Linked DNA regions of Lepisosteus oculatus. Each later gene encodes a partner of the first gene's protein in a complex. Links are inferred from orthologs where the notes say so. Each region holds a gene or a part of one and is shown in the gene's direction. Other genes may lie near its edges.

Region 1 (10,508 bases):
GATGCACGATCGAAACATTGACGAGATCCATATTATTTTTAAAAACTAAATGTTTCGGCTCCCCCGTGTGCATGTAGGACTTTACTGCACGCCTAAATAAATGGGTTAATTCACTCCTAGACTAAAAATAAAAAAAATCCAACGCATGAAAAGTAATGTATGAAACTATAACAATAAAAAACGTAATAAAATACAAAAACAAAAACACATAGCATAACTCTAATAGCGACTGAAAGACCCTAACTTTCTGACATGTATTTCTCTCCTCTAGATAGAGGTCTCAAAATCCTTTTCCTGGAATTCCTGCAGAACGCAGTGTCTTCTAATTTTATTAAAACCTCAACCGTCAAAACAATTAACCTAATTATTTTCTAAGTCATATAAAGGATTTATTTTTATATGCCAATATATCATATATGTTTACACAATCGATTTAAACGTTTGGGCACCCCTGGTCAAATTGCATGTTTCAGAGAATCTCTGAGTGAAAAGAAGTTAACACAACCTGTGCAGGGTACAAACTTTAACATGACACATTTCTGCACAGTTTAACGTACAGTTGCTATTTATTTCCTGAATTTAACAGACTGAAAAAAAAAATAAAACAGTGAAACATGCAATTTGACCAGGGGTGCCTACTTTTGCATACAACTGTACACAATACCTTATAGCCAGGTTAGAAGTATTACATCGATGCAGTTAAATTATTACATCAAGTACCAGAAACCGGGACGATACTAGTCCATCGAGGATCTGAGTTTGATCTTGGATGGAGAAGCTTTGGAAACTATAGTCCATCTTCTGGTTCAAGTTGTGCATTTTCTGTTCATTGGAAGACCAGGACTTTTTATTGGTTCATGTTGAATCCTTACCCAATGTGTCGTGTCCAGACAAACTTTTCTTCTTTTCTAAAAAATCCTTAGATATAATAGAAAGGATAAACATAATTTTGTTAAAATATTTAAAAATATATAACTTCAGCATATTTGTGTAATTTATAACAATAGTTGGAATTGTCCTACCTACAGTATATGGATTACACTGGTAGCTTACTTTTAAAACCAACTGTTTCAAACCAGGCATTAAGACTGAAGGAAACTGATGCTTTCCTAATTAATCTGAAGCAAATACAAAAGCAATTACTTCTTGTAGAATCCTGTCACCTGACCGTGTAATTTCATTAGGAGTTCTTAATTACTGTACAGCTTTTAATCAGAGGTACTGAAAATCTCGAAAGTATTCTCCAGGCTGGCGAGAATGAGATGAATTACTCCAAGACCAGACAATTCTAGACCCTTTCCTTTAAGAGGAACTACTGTAAGTAGCTGTCTGTGGAATTTCACACCCTTTTTTTGCAAATTCTCCTTTATTTCTGCTTAGTCAAGATCCAGTATTGCCCACCAAATGTTTTTATGAAAACTTTTATACTTTTAGACAAAACTATCTGGACATAACATATCCATTGTCGTCCTTCTATTCCACCAGAAAAGACCAGAGAGTGTTTGGGTTTGAAGAGCTACAGAAGCCATTGCAAAGCACTCATTGCCAGACACTTTGAGATCTTAGATCTCTCCATGCTCTCAAAATTGATTTCAATGGCTTTCTTAATGTTTCCAGCTGACATTTTCTGTATTTTCTCACGTCAGACTGCAGTATTTCAGTACTGCTACTTGAGCCACTCTTGACATGAGTGGTCTTTGTGAACAAAAATCCTTGAAATCAGAAAGATAAAACATTGTTCAAAATAAAACAATATTAATTCTATACTTATACATATAAATATTTTATTATAAATTGTAATAAAACATTTTCCTGTGCTCTACAATTACATTGGTTTCTAGTTTACAAATATAGATGTCTCAAAAATTAAATAACACAGATGAATGTTTTGTTTTAAAAAGTGTTATTTTGTTAGTTCACAAAGTACAAAAACATGATTTCTCTTTTTCTTTGTATACCTGCCTCTTCTTTGGGGTTTTTATTTGTCAGTGCATTAAACATAGTGTGACTACACTATGAACTTTTGGTACATACTGTAATTGTATTTATTCAATAAACATCTGGACAGTTTGCCCAAATTGCCTCTTTCTCTTAGTCTCAAAACACAGAAATCACTTCATTTTACAAGACAGAGTAAAACACAAAATGTTGTACATTCTGGTTTGACAGATGTCAGGATTAATACATTAGTAAACAGGATCACTTGTGCTGGAATGCAGTGTGTGAACATTAATAATGCCCGTGTACAGGTATTAATATGTAAATATGAATACATATCGAATGGATATTACCGTGCAGTTTTGAATAACAAGAGACCCACATAGGCTGCCCCTGATGATCTATAATTCAGCAGCTGGAGGTGAATGTTACCTGATAGGCCCTGGCTGTCTCTGGAGCCAGCATGCTCTCATTGTCCTCCACGGTGAAACCCTGCTCCAGGGCAAACGCCAGGGCTCCTTCCCCGACCAACAGGCTGTGACAGCTCTGCTCCATGACTCTGCGGGCCACTCTGACTGGAGTCCCCACACTGTCACACACACACCACACACACGCGTCAGGGGCACAGACATAGGGGGCACAACAATCCACCGGATTGCGAAGGAACGGGATGCTAACCGGGAGGAACACAGTACAGTAGAGAAACATTTGTGACATGTTCTTCAGACATACAACACTTTAAAACGCTAAAACTGAACAGCTGAGGGAGCGCTTTTAAAAATAATCAAATATTTTGTCTTATTGAGCTCACATAAATGGACTTTTACTGCCACCTGGCTAAAGTCTCCACAGCAGTAGAGAAAAGACTGTAGCGACGTGGATCGACACTAGAGGGCGCCATTGGGCCGGTGTTTAGAAATGCATCAGTCTCCTGATCAGCCTCCTGCTTGGAAGCTGGGGGACACAGTACTTCATTATTTAAAGCGTGTCCTGTTAAAGCCAGTGACTATGGCTGACACCTTGCAATTTTCTCTCTGAAAACACTTATTTGTCGTCTAGCACAGAGGCAAAGAGACAGATTCCATGACATGCCGAAAATAAAAGCACAAAAGGAAAAAGACAGGCGGTGCACAGGATACTTAATCAGCCTCTCACCAGAACAGTCGCACTCATCGGCTGCAAGGTTTCAGCACTTCAAATGTAGCAGTGAAGCTGGCTAGGAGTCACCGCTCTTGGCTTTGTGGATTAAAGTATCAAGGTTGCCAAAAAGGAGAGCAAGTAAAAAGGAACAATTCGATGTAAAGGGTGTATACTTGTCTTACCCCTGAAGGGCTGCCACTGCACCAAAGCGGCCCGCGATCCCCTCCATGAGCGCAGCGTCACACTCAACCAGCCCCTCGCTGTTGGGGTAGCCCCCTCTGCCCACGACGAACCGGCCCGTCTCCCTGTCATTCTCAATATCTAGAAACACGCAGAGCTCCAGTGAGCAGAGCTCTTCAGCAGCTATATCATTGTGCAGCTCACAACTGACAACACACTGAAGCCAGTACCCGGCCTGTCCAGCACCTGGATGGGAGACCTATCTGGGACAACTGAGGTCGCCGCTGGAAGTGGGGTCAGTGGAGCCAGTAGGGGGCGCTCACCCTGCGGTCTGAGTGGGTCCTAATGCCCCAGTATGGTGACGGGAACACTATACTGTTCAATAGGTGCCATCCTTAGAATGAGATGTAAAACCGAGGCCCTGATTTTCTGTGGTCACTAAAAAATACCCATCTATGAACTGGCTTTACCACTCTGTTCTCCTCCCCACTGATAGCTGGTATGTGATGAGCGTATATAATATACTATATAAGTGTAAGGACTTCTTATTAGTTATCATTCAGGTAACCCTGATGTGATTATCCCTATTAGTTCTGATTAATATGATCTTAATCTCATTTAGTTTTTTTTTGGTCATTAATACTCAATAAACTATTTTAAGTATCTATTCTAGAAAAATAAAAACTACAACTGCAGAAAACCATAGATTGCCATGCAATCTGCAAACAGGCACAAATTCCCATGGCTGTCCCAAAGATAAAACGAGCCGCTGATGTGACATTATCCGAGTGTGCCTACAAATCTTTACAATCCTTCGAAATACAGAGTGGAACAGTGGTTGTCTCTCTGGACCACAAGGATCGGGTGCTCGAATCCCAGGTAAATGCTGCTGTTGTACTCTTCAACCGGGTACTTACTCTTTTTACATGCCTACATTCCTCCCACTCATACATGGAGCCCCAGGCCATCAGTGAAAATAATTTGAATTTGATCTTAATTGACATAGCTGGTAAAACAAAGGAATAGATCAAATCTAGCCCTAATGTTTATATTGGTCACATTTTGCAATGGACACCCATAGCAGCAGAAAACTGACCTTTTAATAAGATCAGTTACATTTGGATAAGTCTCCTCACGTGTTTAAAACCGATCTTTGTAATGATTTAAGTGAAATGCATTGGTACTGTGTATTGTGTGGAGGCTTGTGTGATGTTTTATTTCCTTTATATCACCTCAATGTAGAGCCGAGTGTTAGGCAAGATGTTGTAGTGTTGAGTCCTGAGTGTCACTTACCTGCCATAGCCTGTTCCACACAATCAGTGGAGTGCTGTCCTTGTACAATTAAATACCTCATTTTCTCTACAGCGGGCAGTGAAAATGACCAGGTACCTACAGCAGCCATTCCTCCAGAGATCTCTGGTGATACTCATGTAGCAGGTACTGATTTTGGGTCACCTGCTGAACAGACAATTTTAGTAAACACCTCCAGGAGACTAAGGAGTGGCTTATTCTACAAAATGAGGCAATTTACAGAAACAACCTTCAATGGAGTGGAAAAATCAGTATTCCTTTAATTGCTTCATTTTCATACACAGATACAGGCCGATAAGTGATTCATCTTCATACACAGTCACGACATTTGTCACTTTGCTAGTCAACAGTGTTTTATCTTGCACAAGGCCTCACAGACTGTACCTACTCAGCACCTGTCTGAAGTCCAGGGGTGGTATTTATAGTTGTATACTTTGAGAAGACAGGAACAACAGGTTCATATTGAGGATTAATAGTATTTTTTTCTAGTCCGACTACTACTTGTTTTCCTGGTTTCATTTTCAATTTAGAAGTAAAGCCCACACTGAGAGTTTTTTTCTTGTGTTACCTTTGCAAGCTTTTACATGTTTTGCATTTTTTGTTAAATACTATTGAAATCGGTCAGTAAATCTCATAAGATTACCGTAGAACATTAAAACTATGTTAACATTGTATTTTCGACACATTGTATTAAGATTAGTGTTTTACTATAGCACCATTCAGTATATTGGTTATTATTGTTATTGTTGTTCTTATTGCCTAATACAAAATGTCGTATTAGTTTTGTAGCATTATCATCCCTCATGTCTATAGCAAATGGTAATTTGTATGTGACAATACCAGAAGTACATTTATAAACATTTTAACATTTTCATTCTCTTCCTGTATCAAACAAAACAACACACACCCTTTTTTCCCTCGGAACCGACAAGGTCTTCGCTGGCTCATTGAAAAGAATACTTATCTTCAACTGTAACGTAGAGCCTAAAGATCTGATTGGCTGCAACGCCATGTCAATAACTCGTCAGTTCAGGTACCAGGATGAGCTGCCACAGCTGCCGCAATTTTCTCCATTGTGATTGGATAACGTCACGTCCATTTTTTAGACGGGCGGGCTCTAACGTGGAAGCTCGGGTCACATGGCAGACTTACCGGAAGAAACCCTTTCCGGGAGCCGGGGTGGTGATTTCCGGCTTGCTGAAGAAAGTTGAGCAGGAGAGGTCTGCAGGTTCCTGGATTCTGAAAAATGGACGGTCAGGGAAGGAAAGTGGTGGTTTGTGACAATGGAACCGGGGTAGGTCTGATGACAGATTTCTTACTTTCGGTGATTTGTGCTTCTGCCCGATTCTTCTATGGCTGATTGTGGCTATGGAAAATAGAATCGCCTGAAACAGGAAGTAAAGAGGTTAGCTGACTGGGTGGGTAGGCAAAGGAATGTGAGTCTGTCAGCTTGTCAATTCCGCTTTCTTCAAAGGGACTGATGCTTAATCTGGTGCTCACAAGGTATATACGTTTTAGATTCAACGCTAAGATCCCTTGTTGAGCCACGTTCTGCAGTAGTGGGTAGACTGTGTTGGCATTGTGCATTTTGTATGGATGTAGTCATCGCTTGCCACCAAGGGCCAACACAGGGGATAATTGCTGGAATTTAGTCCGTAAGGGGAAGAAACGGAGCTCGCATGTCCCCGGTGAAATCATTAGATGTTTCTCTCCTCTCCCCTATCATATGTATGACGAACCATCAGTACATCGGTGCCATCACGGTATATTTAAGTGCCCCGTAGGTGAATCGCATTGTTCTGGTAACAAAAAAAAAGTTTCTAAGTCGAAGCTACGGATTGTGCCGTTTTATCAATGAATTGGGGCAGTATTGTTTGCGAGGGCGACAGAAACTGGAAGCGGTTGCACAGCGGTGTTGAAAATGCACCAGCACTCTGCCTCTGTAGTTTGAAATGTCCTTATACAGTTATCACTGGTACAGCCCCTGCTTGCGGTTTTACAGAGCTCGACAGGATGTCAGATCACGCAGGGCTATCTGTCGCGGCGCTTCGCTTGGAAGGTTTTCGGGATTAGAAAGCCCTGCTCGGACAACTCTCATTTTAGCCCCTTTATTTGTAAATTCCGATCATTTGTGAAACAGGTGACGCGTTCCGCGATTAAAAGATTGATATTTCCTCCATACAGCAGCCATGTTGCCGTACTGTGTGTTGCCACAGTTCGTCTGTTTGTTCAAGTCTGTACATGCAAACACATTCTTCGCGTTAGTTCCCAAAGCGCTTCTGAATTTACTTTCTTTGCGAAATGACAAACCAAGAAAAACAATTGTAAAGAACAACGTTAAGAAAAATCACTTTAAGAACCTGCCGATTTACTAAGAATGACTTCAGTCCGTCCATCTGTCTTGGTGTCTTATTGATACTCCTTGATGTATGAAACTCACTGCGGAAAAGCGGCTTAAATAAAATGAAGTATTTGGGTTCCAAGTTCACAGCAGATTGTAAGTGAGGAACATATTGCAAACAGACTTACAGTCCTTTCATAAATAAGTAAATTCGTTCTGACTAAATAAAGCACCAGTCAGATGGACATCCTGTCCTTTTTCTGGGACACTGGAGGTTATGTATTTTTTTTTCACAGTGCACTCCATTCTCCGTCCATCAAAAAAGAAAGCTCATAGCAGCGTGTCCCTTTTCTGTCAAATATTAGTTTACCAGCGCCACAGGAGGTATTTTTTAGCTTTCTTCATCATTGCAGCGTGTGAAGACTACAGAGCACTGCTTCTGAAGCATACCTGTGGAAGTGGCAGTTCAGATGAAATGTATTAGGTGTAGTTAGATGTATTTATTCGCCACGGTGAGATCCCTATAAAAACATGCACTGCTGCATATTTAATGCGGAGATACTGTGAGTAATGTTTGAACACGTACAGAAATGTATTGCCTTAGGCTTTTGATTGTGGTGTTACACCGTTTTAATAATTTGGTCAGTGGTGATTAATTTGTGTAAAGATAATTAAGTAGTTGCACTCTACAACTGTTGTTTAAGAACAGATTTTAGAACAGGTTGCCAGCGAGCTGAGGACGCTTATAAAATTTCAACCTGAAAAGAACAACATTTGTTTCCTTTTTAAATCAGCTCAGGTACAATGAGCTGATTGCATAAATCGTTTAGAGACCGAGCAGTCCAGATATCTCTGCCCATTAGCGATAAGAGCAGTGGGTGGGTTCTTTTTTTCAGCTTGGAGATTTGGCAGTAGAAACGTGCGTTTCGTTTTTTTCTGAACTAGTGCACATTAACTTGCCGGCTGGACTGCACAGGGAGGGAAACTTAACAGAGCACTTTGAAGGATGTTGGTTAATGTGCGTTGCAGAAAAGTGCTAGTTGTGCACTGCTTGACTGATGACTCAAAGGGAAGTGAGATCAGCACTGAAACCACATTCACAGCCCAAAGAACTTTAACTGTTTTATACAACAAATCAAATCTATTTCTGTATGAATGCTTATTATAGTTTTAGTTGAAATGTTTTTGTATGTCTTACAAACTATTCTAGCACCTTGCATATTGGCTGTTTTATCACAGGCTTAAGTATTGTGTGCACTTTTGGAGGTAGGCGTCTGGACAGTGGGTTACAAAAGACTTGAATTCCAGCTCTGTGACATGCTTGTTTTGTGACCCTGGGGCTTGATTCGTAACCCTCACTAGCTTGGTCTCACCCAGCTGGACTACTGGGGAGGTGTCCCTTGAAAAAAATCATTTAACCTAGACCTAGATTGTTTGTACAACAAGAGTCGGATTATCGGAGAGAATGGATTGGTCACTCTGCTTGGACACGAGACTCTGAGTAGGTCTGTCTAGAAGAAAGTTGCAGAGATTAAGCTCACGGTGACTGCTGATTTTAGCCTTCAGTGCTTGTGTGGCTGTGGGCATGCCTGTTGCGACAGGTCATCTGCATTCTTTCCTTAGTGTAGCAGCTAGACAGTACTTTTCGGTGAACATGGTCAGTTTTGCAATGCTGTGGAAATACCTACAGTAGTTAGCTATTTTAGTGTCCTGTTCCACATGCCTGTATGGGGATAGCCCTGGTCCTTGAGAGCGAGAGAATCCAGTAGGTCTTGTAGGTTTGCCTTCAATCATCGGTTTCTAAAGACTTGGAAGAGAAGAACTCGATCGGTTTACTTCTGGTAAATCAGGAACAGACAACTGTGATCCTTGGGAGCCACAGAGTGTTGTAATTATTTCTACACTGCTAAATTGACCCAGTCCCCTGCTTAAGTGGTCAAAATGAAATTGTTCCAGTCATTTAGAAATTGATGATTTAAAGGTGATTCGTAAAGTGTGCTGGATCCTGGCTCTCCAGCACAGAGGGAGTCTGCCTTGCACTAGCTGTTTACATCTCGCATCCATGAGAGTTTGCGCGAATTGTGATGTGAAACCACCCTTCCTGCACACTAGTCACCATAATAGCTATGTAATGTGATGTACAAGCAACTAAGTCCAGGTTGTGCATTAGATATTTCACCACAGAATGTCTCCAACATGATTTACATGTACAGTTAACAAGTAAGTTCCATTTATCGACAAAACCATCTTGGAAGTCGAGAGCAGTATTTCTTTTGGATTAAAAGAGATGTGTTCACCAGCCTGCTTGTTTTCAAAGTAATAAGGCCGCTCCCATCACCGGAGGTTTTGTTGCCTCGTTCTGAATCAAAGAACATGCTGCTGTGCAGACTTGGAAATTTCGTGTATTTTGTGATGTAAAACCTCCAATTTACAAAATACTGTGCACATTTGACTTTTATTGTGGTGTGGAATGCACTCATCAATGCTGATTCTTTTTTAACCCCGAAATATAAAAATTGCATTGCAGTTCCCCTTTAAGCTTTCATTGTGAGAGGTTTTCAGAATATATTTAATTTATGTTCTCAGTTTCTTGTATGTCCTATTTATACATACAGCATCTCTAATGGATGTCTTTACATTTATATGCATTTGCACAAAGAGAAGATGAACTTATGTGTAGTGGTAACTCCAGGAATTTCAATAAAACAGTTTTTCCCAAAGGATTGCAACACATTCCTAATAGAATCCCTGACCTTCTGTGACAACATGTGGCTAATGTGAAAGACGACAGCTTTGCTGTCCACTGAGCTCTTCTAGAAGCCGGCAGCGTTCCAAATGTATTCCATTCCTCTGAAAAACCGTGTCCTCTTCTCTCATTCTTGGCCAGTTTGTCAAGTGTGGCTATGCTGGTTCCAACTTTCCGGAGCACATCTTCCCCGCGCTGGTCGGCAGGCCCATCATCCGATCGACCACCAAAGTGGGAAACATCGAGATCAAGGTAAAGCTCTCTCTCTGCTCAGCTCGTGTCAAGAAAACATCTGCCAGACTTGAGGTTCTGCATTTAATTGTTTGTTTCTCCTTTTTTTCTTCCACTATTTAAGATGTTTGCTGTCATTGTGAATATATGACCTTGCTGATCCATTTACCAAGAACGGGTGTGGAAGTGGAAATTTGCGACAGAGTTGCTGCATTTTGCAGCAGCTCGGAAGCCTTTGACTATGACAAAATAGCTCTAGTATTCAAAATGAAGGCCTGAAATCCATGCTTGTATATTTATGGAGATAGTTCAGGTGGGCAGCTGCGTCAGCATGTGTAGGCTGCAAAGGAACAAGTAATAGGTTTATTCCATGCTGAAAAGAGAAGAAAGAAAACAACGTTTCGGCCGTGGCGGCTTCTTCGGGTGTGAGCCAGGTGGGTAGATGTGTCGGCATGCGTAGGCTCACCTGAAGAAGGCTCCACGGCTGAAACGTTGTTTTCTTTCTTCTCTTTTCAGCATGGAATAAACCTATTTATGTAGATATAAAAGTAAGACAACCACCTGCTGTGTGTACTTAGAAGACCTTTCTTTTCTGCATTTCCCTTTTCGTGGAAACTTTTA
Region 2 (10,775 bases), on another chromosome or scaffold:
TAACTTGTAATGTTAGGAGCCCATTTTCCTACCTACGTTATTTTCATGTTGTACAGTGTTGAATATGGGTAATCTGTGCTTTCTTTTTCTATATTTCTGTTTCAGAAATTGCTATAAGCCCCAACAATCACGAAGTTCACATTTACAAGAAGAATGGAAACCAGTGGGCAAAAATTCATGAATTGAAGGAGCACAATGGGCACATTACAGGTATATTTCAAGTGGTTGACTTTTCTGTCACAACAGCCTCTTAGTTTTAGTTGTGAGGGTGGACTTGCAGCCAGTCTATTATGTTTTCACTGCTTTCTGAATTACTAAAATATATCTGGTTAATCACCATTGGTGCTTAGTGGTTCTTATTTGCACAGGATTTAAGTAAAGCATTTCATGGCTAGAGCCTTGATCTCCACAGAGGATAGGAAATGCCATCTTGCATTAATAGTCTTTTAATTCGTAGAAAAGGTGAGAATATTTGGTAGTTAAACAGGAAGTTTGGTTTTTACATCAGTCACCCATGAGAGATTTTTCTTTTCTTTTTAAGAGGAAAGAATTAGAACTTATTACATATCGGACACTGGAAAATTAAACTGAATGCAGCTGTACAAATTACATTTTTATGCTCTTCTCTCTGTGCAGGAATTGACTGGGCCCCTAAGAGCGATCGTATTGTTACGTGTGGTGCAGACCGCAATGCCTATGTCTGGAGTCAGAAGGATGGGGACGGAGTGTGGAAACCGACACTGGTGATTCTGAGGATTAACCGAGCAGCCACGTTTGTGAAGTGGTCACCGCTGGAGAACAAGTTTGCCGTGGGCAGTGGAGCTCGGCTCATCTCCGTGTGCTACTTTGAGTCTGAAAACGATTGGTAAACCTCACTGGAGTGGATGAATGTCAGCTTTCCCTGATTAGATGCTGCCCAGTTCTTTATTTTGGACTTTCACAATTTTGCTGATTGATCCATAAATTCAGAGGTGTCATGCTGTATCTGTGTGGTAATGAAAGTTACCCTCTGAATCTGTAGATCACGGTCAGGTTGCCTCTTAGAAACTACCAGATTACTGTAAAAAAAAAAGTTTCCAGGATGTCGATAGACTGTTGCTCCGAAGAAATCACAATCAGATCTGAGTGTTGGTTCTAATCTGCCAGTTTACTCTTAGCAGTAGCTTAAGCATTTGGTTGTACAATATAGATTTTCTCTTCCCTTAATTTAACTAGCATTTTCTGTAGTGTAGAGAGCAGAAGCAAATCTGAACTTCAGTGCACTAATTAAATTGGGCATAAAATAAATTAAAATAATTAAGTAAAGGTAATATACATGTTTATTTAATGAAATTCAAGAGTAAATCTACCTATGTTCTTTACATAACATGAACAAATTTAATCTTAAAGTGCACAGAATAAATCATTCTTCTTAAAGGTATATCTATTATCTTTTTTTAGGTGGGTTAGTAAACACATCAAGAAGCCCATTCGCTCTACAGTCCTGAGCTTAGATTGGCATCCTAACAATGTCCTCTTAGCTGCTGGATCCTGTGATTTCAAATGCAGGTGAGCACATTTGATGGTTTGACCATATTTGGAACAGTCAGGTGCAATCTAACTATGTGGTGAAAAGCAGTGTTAATTTGCAAAGTGGAAGCTTTAAGATAAGTGAAGCTAAGTGAGTAATTGGGGTATGCATGACATCTTATTCAGTATTTAGCTGAAAAGCATTGTTACCTTTATATTTTATAATTGGCATGCACACAAAATCATGTACCTTTTTTCCCTCCTTTAAGAGTATTCTCTGCATACATCAAGGAAGTAGAAGAGAAACCAGCACCCACTCCCTGGGGTTCCAAGATGCCTTTTGGACAGGTGATGGCAGAGTTTGGGGGTGTCGGGAGTGGAGGATGGGTTCACAGTGTTTGCTTCTCTGCCAGCGGGAACCGCCTAGCCTGGGTCAGTCACGACAGCACGGTGTCCGTTGTAGACGCTTCCAAAAGCATGATGTAAGTAGAATTTTAAGTTATTTAGATGTGCATGGAAAGAAAGTAGATCATTGTATCCAGGAAGTAGATCTGTTTTGGGTGCAGCCTGCAGTACATGTTTGAAATACCAAAATGGCTCTTTTTCAGATCATATGCAACTTTCTCTTTCTCATTCTGAAGGGTCGTGAAGCAGGTGAAGCAAACTGGTTGAAAATCAAGTTAAGTGTGGAGCCTCCTGAGTGGCTCAACTAAAAAACGTGCTCACTGAGCACAGACTCAGCTTTGTGGTCATTGGTGCTAGCCTGAGTCATGTCATTAGCCAACTGTGACCATGATACCCCAAATGGCCATTTCCAATTCATCTAATTTGTCAGGCAGGGCTCTCTTAGCCCTCTTTGAGGTTTGTGATACTGTCAGTTAGGGACATGCCTCTCCTCCAATCAGCACTGAGTCTCCCTTGTTAAAACACATGCAGAACAGTGGGCGGGTTTGAGCACTCTGCCTGCACTTCCTCATTCTCTTTGTGTATGATTTATATCCGTGATCTGAAACATGGGAAAATACATATGTGCCCGATTTGGAATAGCTAAGTGTAACAGAAATAATTGACAATTATTACTTTAGAAAAAAACTCTGTTAATAGGTTTGTTTATAACTCACTTACTTTGTTTTAGTAATTAGGTTGGACTTTGGGTCACTCTCATTTCCACTGAGTTCCTACAAAGCTTGTTTAAAACTATGCAGAGTATCTTTTTTCTATAATTGTTAGCTAAGTACAGTGCACTGGTGCATTTTGTCTGAAGCTTGAATCTGATCGAATAATGGATTAATTTAATGCTTTTATAATTCTAGGTGTGCCCAGCTCAAGACAGAATTCCTTCCTCTTCTGAGTGTGATATTTGTATCGGAGAACAGTGTTGTTGCAGCGGTAAGACAATAGTACAGCAACATTTATGTTCCAAAGTATCAATGATATTGCTTAATTTGTATTGAATTAGATCTAGGTTGAAGCATTTAGTTAATATGCAGCCTTTTGCATTTCTTTCATTGAGTTTAAAAAAGGATTTGCTGACAAATGGGGAGAAATAAGGGATGCATGCTTTGATTATGACCAGTGGCTTTTTGACTATTCTTCAGATCTATGAAAGGAACACATAGTTTTTCCTTATTCAAATGAGAATATCAGGACAACTTACAGACCTCCTCGTGATCCAAAGTAGTGTTAAAATTTAAAGGGCATTTCCCCTGAACATATTTCAATTTAATTATGGTTCTACAAACAAAATCCAAACATGATGCTGCCGTTTCCCCGTATAACAAAATGTGCATTCTTTGTGCTAGGGTCATGATTGCTGCCCAATGCTGTTTAACTGTGATGACCGTGGGTCTCTGACCTTCATCTCCAAGTTAGACATTCCAAAGCAAAGCATCCAGCGCAACATCTCTGCCATGGAACGCTTCCGCAACATGGACAAGAGAGCCACAACCGAGGACCGCAACGCTACTCTGGAGACGCTGCACCAAAACAGCATCACGTAAGGGAGTCATTGTAGAGATTTGCCTAGTGTGTCTGCACAATAGTCCAAATGAAGAACTTGTTCATTGCAGAAGATGTGCTGTGCACATATGCATCCAAAAACTTTTTAACATAGCTGTTGCATAGTGTGATGGTTATATATCGTGTAAGTTAAGGTAAACCATAAACACGAAACTAAATATTAGTAATATATTAGTGTATTTACATTGTATAAGAAAACAGTTAAGGTACCCCGATTCACAACAATAAGACTATAGGATTGCTTTTTTTAAGATGTACTCTCACAATGATAGGGCTAGAAGTTGTTTACAACTGTACAACAGTATGTCATGATTGCATAGGTTGAACTGGGATGAGGTAGAATAATATTAACCAAGAATCAAGTCCACAAAAATGGGGTGTCTTTTTTACAGCCAAGTGTCTATATATGAAGGAGACAAAAGAGATTGTCGTAAATTCTGCACTACAGGAATTGATGGAGCAATGACCATATGGGACTTTAAGGTACTCGCATTAGATTGTCTAAAACTCTTGGCACAGTAGTTAAGTATTTAAATAAAAACTGAAGTTAAAATATCAGTACAACTAGTACTATCATTTGTAGTCTTTCTTACCATTGACAGCTAAGCAGTAACTGATGAGGTATGCATTATTTTTAGCTTAATTGTGATCTGTAATTTTAACAATTTTACTTAATGCATTTATTTTATCTATTGATTGTTATTTAAGCACGACCATATGAAAACTCTCATAAGGTGGTATTGTATTTGTATTTATTGTACAGTACTCTGTAAAAGACTTGTCTTTTTCACTAGATTGTGAGTGTGGTACATCCTAGCCCTGGGTGCGCTGAGACTGCAGTATGAAGGTTTTATCTAGCTATCTAGCAATAAGCATTCACGTTTTAACCGTGCAATTCCACTCTCCCTCTCCCACAGACACTAGAGTCTTCTATCCAAGGCCTGCGGATCATGTAAGGGAAAGCGCAAGTTAACTGGCATGAAGCAACTCGCAAGCCATGCAGTTTGATGACTAACAAGGTGTCTTCTGACAACCCTTTCAAAAGATTCATCAAAAAGCACTGAAAGACAGGAAAAACTGACATCATTGTTTATTTAAAAAAAGAAATAAAGAGGAAATGGGTTTGGAATCTTTGGTTATTACTTTAGCTGTGATTTTCTTGATTCTTGATACCAAAGCTGCTACCCAGCAGTTTGATAGTAAGTCATTTGAAATGAGCTCCTCTGGACACATTTTGGAACATTAAAGGGGGATTTCATGTAAGAGTTCTACTTGTAATAAAAAACATACACTACTCACCCTGAATAAGTGTTTTTATTTGATGTTTACATGAATCCTTTATTTCTTATATTACTAAACATTAGCAGGGAAGATTAGCAGAAGTCAGAAGTGGAAGCTGAGAAAACCTTTAAAACTGAGAACAGAAACCACTTTTTACACAAAGGGTTGTAGGAGTATGCAACAATCTACCATGTAGGTTTAGCTTCTTTAAAATCTTAAATCAATTAGCTACAAGGTTGCCAAATGGGCCAGGGTGGCCAAGAATATTTTGTAACTCTTCTATTCTATGTTATGCTGAAGAATTTGTGCTGCTTGTGTACTTGAAATGTTTTGTAGTATCACCACCTCTATAGAGTGCAGCTCCGCAGAATTTTTCAGCACTCTGGTTTATTATGGTGAATGCAGTAGACTAGTGTATGGCATTATGGTTGGACATAAATTTGAGTTGGTAAGCATGGGGGCAGCATTTGAAAATCGTTGATCATCACATTGTAAAGAATTATGCAAGTACTGTATCTGCATTGAGTTTAAGAATTGTTGTTTTTTAATTAAACCTTTTCGGTTTATTGTTGAGGGTGTATAATGCATAAAAAATTAAATATCAAGTCGGTAACTTCAAATTAAGATTTGAAGATTTAATTTTTTTTCTTTAGATGTAATTAAAATTTTCATTTTTCTGCACAAAGCTTTCTTTAATTTTTTAATGCGAGTATGCATTTTGTGCCTGAAATGTTCAAAAAGTGATTTTTTTTAACAGCAGTTTTAATTTGTGTAGTATATTTTCTCCATTTGGTTCTGGGTCACCTTGACCATGAAATGGATAAGTGGTTATTGAAAGTGATGTGATATTTTCCATGTGATAAAAACGCAAAAGGCATTACCTATCCATATAGGATCTGGATCAAATTTCAGTTTGCTCCCTCTCTGGATAGTCATGTCGTGCACGTCAGCTTTCAGGGTTCATGTTCTAACAGTGCTCCATCTGTCCATTCAAGACATCTTCCCTTTACTCTGAACACCAACTGAATGCAAACAGCTTATGTCACAAAGACAGACTGGATAGTGAACTAGTGAAAACGAGACAGGACATGCTTTTACAAACCTGTGAAACCTGAACTGCATGTGCATATGCAAATACTCTTGAACAAAAAATGAGCCAAGACCACATGAATGTATCTCTAGTGGATATTTAAAGTACATATTTCTATTAATGTTAGTGTTACACTTCAGCATATAATAGTTTATTAATTGTAGTACTAAGATTTAAATGGTTACTGTATATTTATAGTGAGTCACATCCGCACTGTGTAGGAGATAGTTTAGATGGATACAGCTAGCACATTGTTTGTGTTTCTGTATGTATTTCTGATTACTTGTCCTCAAAACTGTTAAAAATTCATAAAGTAATGAAAATGCATATTTATTTTGCCATAGTCCAGTTGTTAACCTCTACTTGGTGAGGGAAAGGGCAGAGAAATTTGACTTTTCTGTAATTTTCACAAAATTGTGCTTACAACTTTTAAATCGCTTTAGTTTCCATATGTAGGGTATACTTCTGCACATTTCTTATTGTAAAGCCCCACCCACATTTTCCTAATGACTTTCAGATGAATTTTAGCATTACGGTTTTAGTCCTGGAAGCCAAGTTAGACCAGACAATTTTGAGATGAAAGGGTCTTGGTGAATAATGGAGAAGAAGGGCAGGGGTTACATATCTGCTGACAAGCCGGTATGTGCCGTTAAAGCTTGGGTCCTGCTCGCTAGCTGAAAGCCGCCCACACAAGGAAGTGGTTACACTTTTGAAGCAGGAAAAGGGAAGTGTAACAGTTTTCAGAGAAATAAGTTTTCTTCAGCTCATTCAGAGCCAGCGTTCGTGTTGACTGCTCAGAGTCCATGAACTGAGGCTGCTTGTTTTACATTTTGACCAATTTTCATCTCCTTCAACTTTTTAGTTCAAGAGGTACCGGTAAGTAAACATACCACTGCTTTCTTCTGAATTTTTAATCTGTTGCAAAAATAGCAAAAGTCCAGTATTTCATGCACCTCAGAACTGCTAATGTCAGTTAAAGTGTTATTTGAACTTTTTCCACTTTTATGACTTTTACAGGTTTAGGTATAGTTGTTTTAGTGATGTAAAATGACAGTTAAAGCCCTATTAAAAAACACAGGGTTCTTTTCTTTGCTGTCAATATATTTTTTTTTTCTAAAGTAAAATGGTTTCAACTTTGGGAGTCTTTCAAAATTGAAAGATTTTTTTTTAAATCCATTCAAAGATTTATCCTGTTCCAGCACGGGAACTGGGCTAGTGGATGGTAGTTATACGACAGAGAATTGAGACCACTGCTGTCCAAAGAGTGGAGCTTGCAACAGCTAATATTCACACAAGCCTGGTACACAGAATTCATGCATAGTAAAAACATAATTTGATATATTTTCCATAAATAACTTGTTATTTTTGGACTTGTAATGTGGGGATGTTTTGAAGACATCAAACATTTCCCGCTAGCAGGTCACGTTCCAGGCTGGCCTGCATTTAATTACCCTAGAGACCACAGAAAGTAGATCTGAACAGAGCTGCCTTGTAATTAGGGCATTCATGGAGTTTTCAGCCTGTTACCTTCATGCATAAAGCTCACTATGTCAAACAAATTATTGAGATGCAGCTTCTGCATTTACAACTTCTCCTTTTGCGGTTGGGTGCGGAAGTGCTCTGACAAAGACACAGTTTTAGTGTGCACACTGCAACTGCATTTTTTTCATATGTGGATATGCATTTCTGCTATTTTTAAACAACTTTTAACCTGTGCATAGCCATTGAACAGAGTCTTCTTTTTGCCAATGCCAATATTTCAAATTATACTAGATTAGCAATACTGCATAGTTATTACACAACATCACTGTAGAAAAATCAAATGTTCGAATTAATTTATCACTAATATAACATATGGGTTATGGCGTTTGAATACAGAGAGCAGTTAACCTCATACGACATATTTATTTTTCAGTGTCATAAGCCATGTCTTACCACAGTTTTCTCCTGGAACCCATCAGCTGCCATGCCTGGAATAAAGACAGGAGTCGTGAGTATACATTTGCATTTGTTTTGGGTTGGTGCAAAAGAGTAACAGAATTTGTATTCACAGCAGAATTTATTCACAACGTCCCCAAATCAGCTCACTTACTACACCTCATATTAAGTTCTCCAGATATATGGTTCTGAAGTTAAATATAGCCACTGGCCAATAGCCAGGTTGTTGGAGGTATTTCCTTTGGAAGAGCAAGTAGAAACTGGCAGTCAGCATTTACTGAATTTCCCTAGATTTCCTTATGATACTAATTTTACTTTCTCAGAACATGCTCTCTCCTGTAGATTCAGAATGCATATGATGTGTATAGAGGTTTTGCAGAAATAAATATTTCCTAAAAGTTTTAATCTAAAAAGGATAAAGGGAAATGAAACAAAAACATTGAATTTAAGTGGAAAAAACCTAAAAGCCAACCTGAACCAATTTTGCTGCACAACACCAGAAGAACTACAACTGAAGCTACTATTATTGAAGCTACTCTTTCACATAGTTTCCAAACTTGTAATTACAAGGGTGGAAAATATATACTACAGGGGCTAAAAATGCTTTAAACAGAAGCCCTATCCCGTTTTAATGGGTTTGCTTGGGAGTGGTATTTGTTCACAATTTGCGTGCATGCATCTGCCTCTTTGATATTCACTTACAGGACCATGTTGATTAGATTTCTGCTTATGAATGTATATGCTGATATCTGGCAAGACATGTGGTATTAAACAGCTGCCTTTGCTTCTCCCAGCGGTTGTTTTTCAAGACGGGATCCACCCAGTTAGTCTGTAAACTGCAAAGCCTTACTTCTGCACCACAAACAACATCTAGATTAACTTAACCCGGGCTGGACAGACAGGGGGATTATTTAAAATAAAATTCCATTCCAAAGTTCCATTTTGCGAAGGAGCTTCCTAAATGCAAACTGGCCGAGTAGCCAAAGATTCCAGAAAATGTATTCGAAACTGACGCTGAGACTTCAAGAGTTCTATTTGGGATAAATACCACTTTTAGGAAACTGCCACAGTTAGAGCTGAAGGATGTTGATCACAAAAAAAGTAGAACGAAAAAGTCCACACTCATGTGTTCAGACACAATCTAGAAAAATACTTCTTTGTTCAAAGATAATTTACAGGAAAAAGCCATGTATAGTCATTTGTGGTTATTGTATGTATATGTGTAAATGCAGTTGAACAGTATGGTGTGTTTGTAGTTATACACCCGTCTCATATTTTCTCTCCGTCTGATGAGAGAAACAGCAGTGACTAATTCCACCCAGACTTCCTGTTTTACCATGAATGGTTCGTTGTTGATGATTGGATGTGCCTAAAGCAGACCACAGCAGAACAGAGAAATAACCCAACTCTACCGTGAATTGCTGGCTGTCTGTTTTAGTAGTGGAAACAATCCTCTCCTATAAAAAGAGGGGGTGTTGGGACTTGAATTCAAGTTAAATATTAATGTTTTTATGAAAGCCATTCATCAGCACAAATGTATTTGTGTTTTAGGAAGTGGTTTGACACAGCCAGAGAAGCCTATATTGATATTGTGAGAACATCCTATGCAAATTATTTCAGCTTGAGCTATTTTTTTACACCACATTCGCAAATCTACCTGTAGAGGACATGGCTGATATTTTTCTGTCCTTGACAAACTAGGGAACAGTCAGTTTGCTGTAAATTTTTTGTGCACACAGCATGAGAACCAAGGTCATTGTCATTTGCCAGCATCTATTAAGAAAGCTTTGGTAAAAAAGAACAGTATCCATCTATGTGCACCGTATTCTGTGGATTTTAATTTTTTCACACCCTTCACAACTGATATGTAATTTTTATTATTTGGAGAAGTTGAACAATATTGTGAATATTGAAGCTGGCATATCTATTTATCTAGAATGTTTCATCCTAAAAGGCATCAAAGTTATTCACATATTAGGAGGAACCCACTTCATCCAACAGTGAAATCTGTGTGATGCATAGCAGCCACTATTACATTATGTCAGCCATCCCACTACACAGCAGATAAGGAAGAGAAGTGAGAAACTGTTTCACCAAAAAGGGAACACTTTACATTACAGGATTTTTAATGATCAAGTAGTCGAAATCCTGGTTGCCATACTGGGGTACTGGTTTGAGAACCAAATGGAAGAGTGTCACCTACTCGTCCACCACAGTACTCCTTGTAGCTGCACCCTGGTTTTCCATGGAGGTCTCCCATCAGAGTACTGACATTTGATGGAATCAGCCTACAAGTCAGCAATGCTGCTTAGAGCAGTCCAGAGAGCATTTATAACAGAGGCAGCTTGTAATATCCACTGGACTTTATATTAAGTTACAGTATATATAATAATATAAGTAGTTAGCTGTGTCAGCATGTGTAGGCTGCAAAGGAACAAGTAAAGTTTTATTCCATGCTGAAAAGAGAAGAAAAGAGACACAACATTTCGGCTGTGGAGCCTTCTTCAGTTGTCTACATACAGTATAATAATATTAATTTGCTTTTCATAAACCTATCTTTCAGAAATTGCATTATGTCCCAACAACCATGATGTCTATATCTACAAGAAGGAAGGAACCAAATGGACCAAGATCCACGAGCTGAAGGAGCACAATGGCCAAGTGACAGGTGAGGAAACAAAGAGTGAGCATGTATTTCCAGCTGTTGTCTCAGTGTCTTTAAAACTAAGCAGCTTGTAGTACTGAGCTATGCAGCAGCTGAAATGAAACGTTAGCTTACAGTTTTTCACTTCGCTAGTACGACCTGACATTGGTCTGTGTTATTGAGTTGAAACCATTAACATTTCTAAAACATTTTCAGAAATCAATATGAATCTAATTAACATAAATATGACACAATGTATTTCTAAGGAAAAGGTACAAAAGATCTGGCAGCATG

The links. Proteins that work in one complex are often made in the same cells at the same time.
Region 2: actin-related protein 2-B (region 1) and arpc1b share a complex: the UniProt entries of both Homo sapiens proteins name them as parts of the arp2/3 complex. The link is inferred for Lepisosteus oculatus from reciprocal best matches to the Homo sapiens genes ACTR2 and ARPC1B.

The regions. Positions count from the first base shown.
Region 1 is NC_090712.1:9,088,046-9,098,553, reverse strand, and holds the start of actin-related protein 2-B, read left to right. Parts: upstream 1-5,725; 5' UTR 5,726-5,815; coding exon 5,816-5,863; intron 5,864-9,797; coding exon 9,798-9,908; intron 9,909-10,508. Other genes in the region: N(4)-(Beta-N-acetylglucosaminyl)-L-asparaginase, read right to left, coding at 873-918, 2,371-2,527, 3,261-3,399, 4,552-4,660. UniProt on the Homo sapiens protein: ATP-binding component of the Arp2/3 complex, a multiprotein complex that mediates actin polymerization upon stimulation by nucleation-promoting factor (NPF).
Region 2 is NC_090714.1:10,176,622-10,187,396, reverse strand, and holds the start of arpc1b (actin-related protein 2/3 complex subunit 1B), read left to right. Parts: upstream 1-6,634; 5' UTR 6,635-6,775; intron 6,776-7,814; 5' UTR 7,815-7,825; coding exon 7,826-7,889; intron 7,890-10,400; coding exon 10,401-10,505; intron 10,506-10,775. Other genes in the region: arpc1a (actin-related protein 2/3 complex subunit 1A), read left to right, coding at 106-210, 637-865, 1,441-1,548, 1,779-1,991, 2,823-2,898, 3,312-3,505, 3,921-4,011, 4,446-4,484. UniProt on the Homo sapiens protein: Component of the Arp2/3 complex, a multiprotein complex that mediates actin polymerization upon stimulation by nucleation-promoting factor (NPF).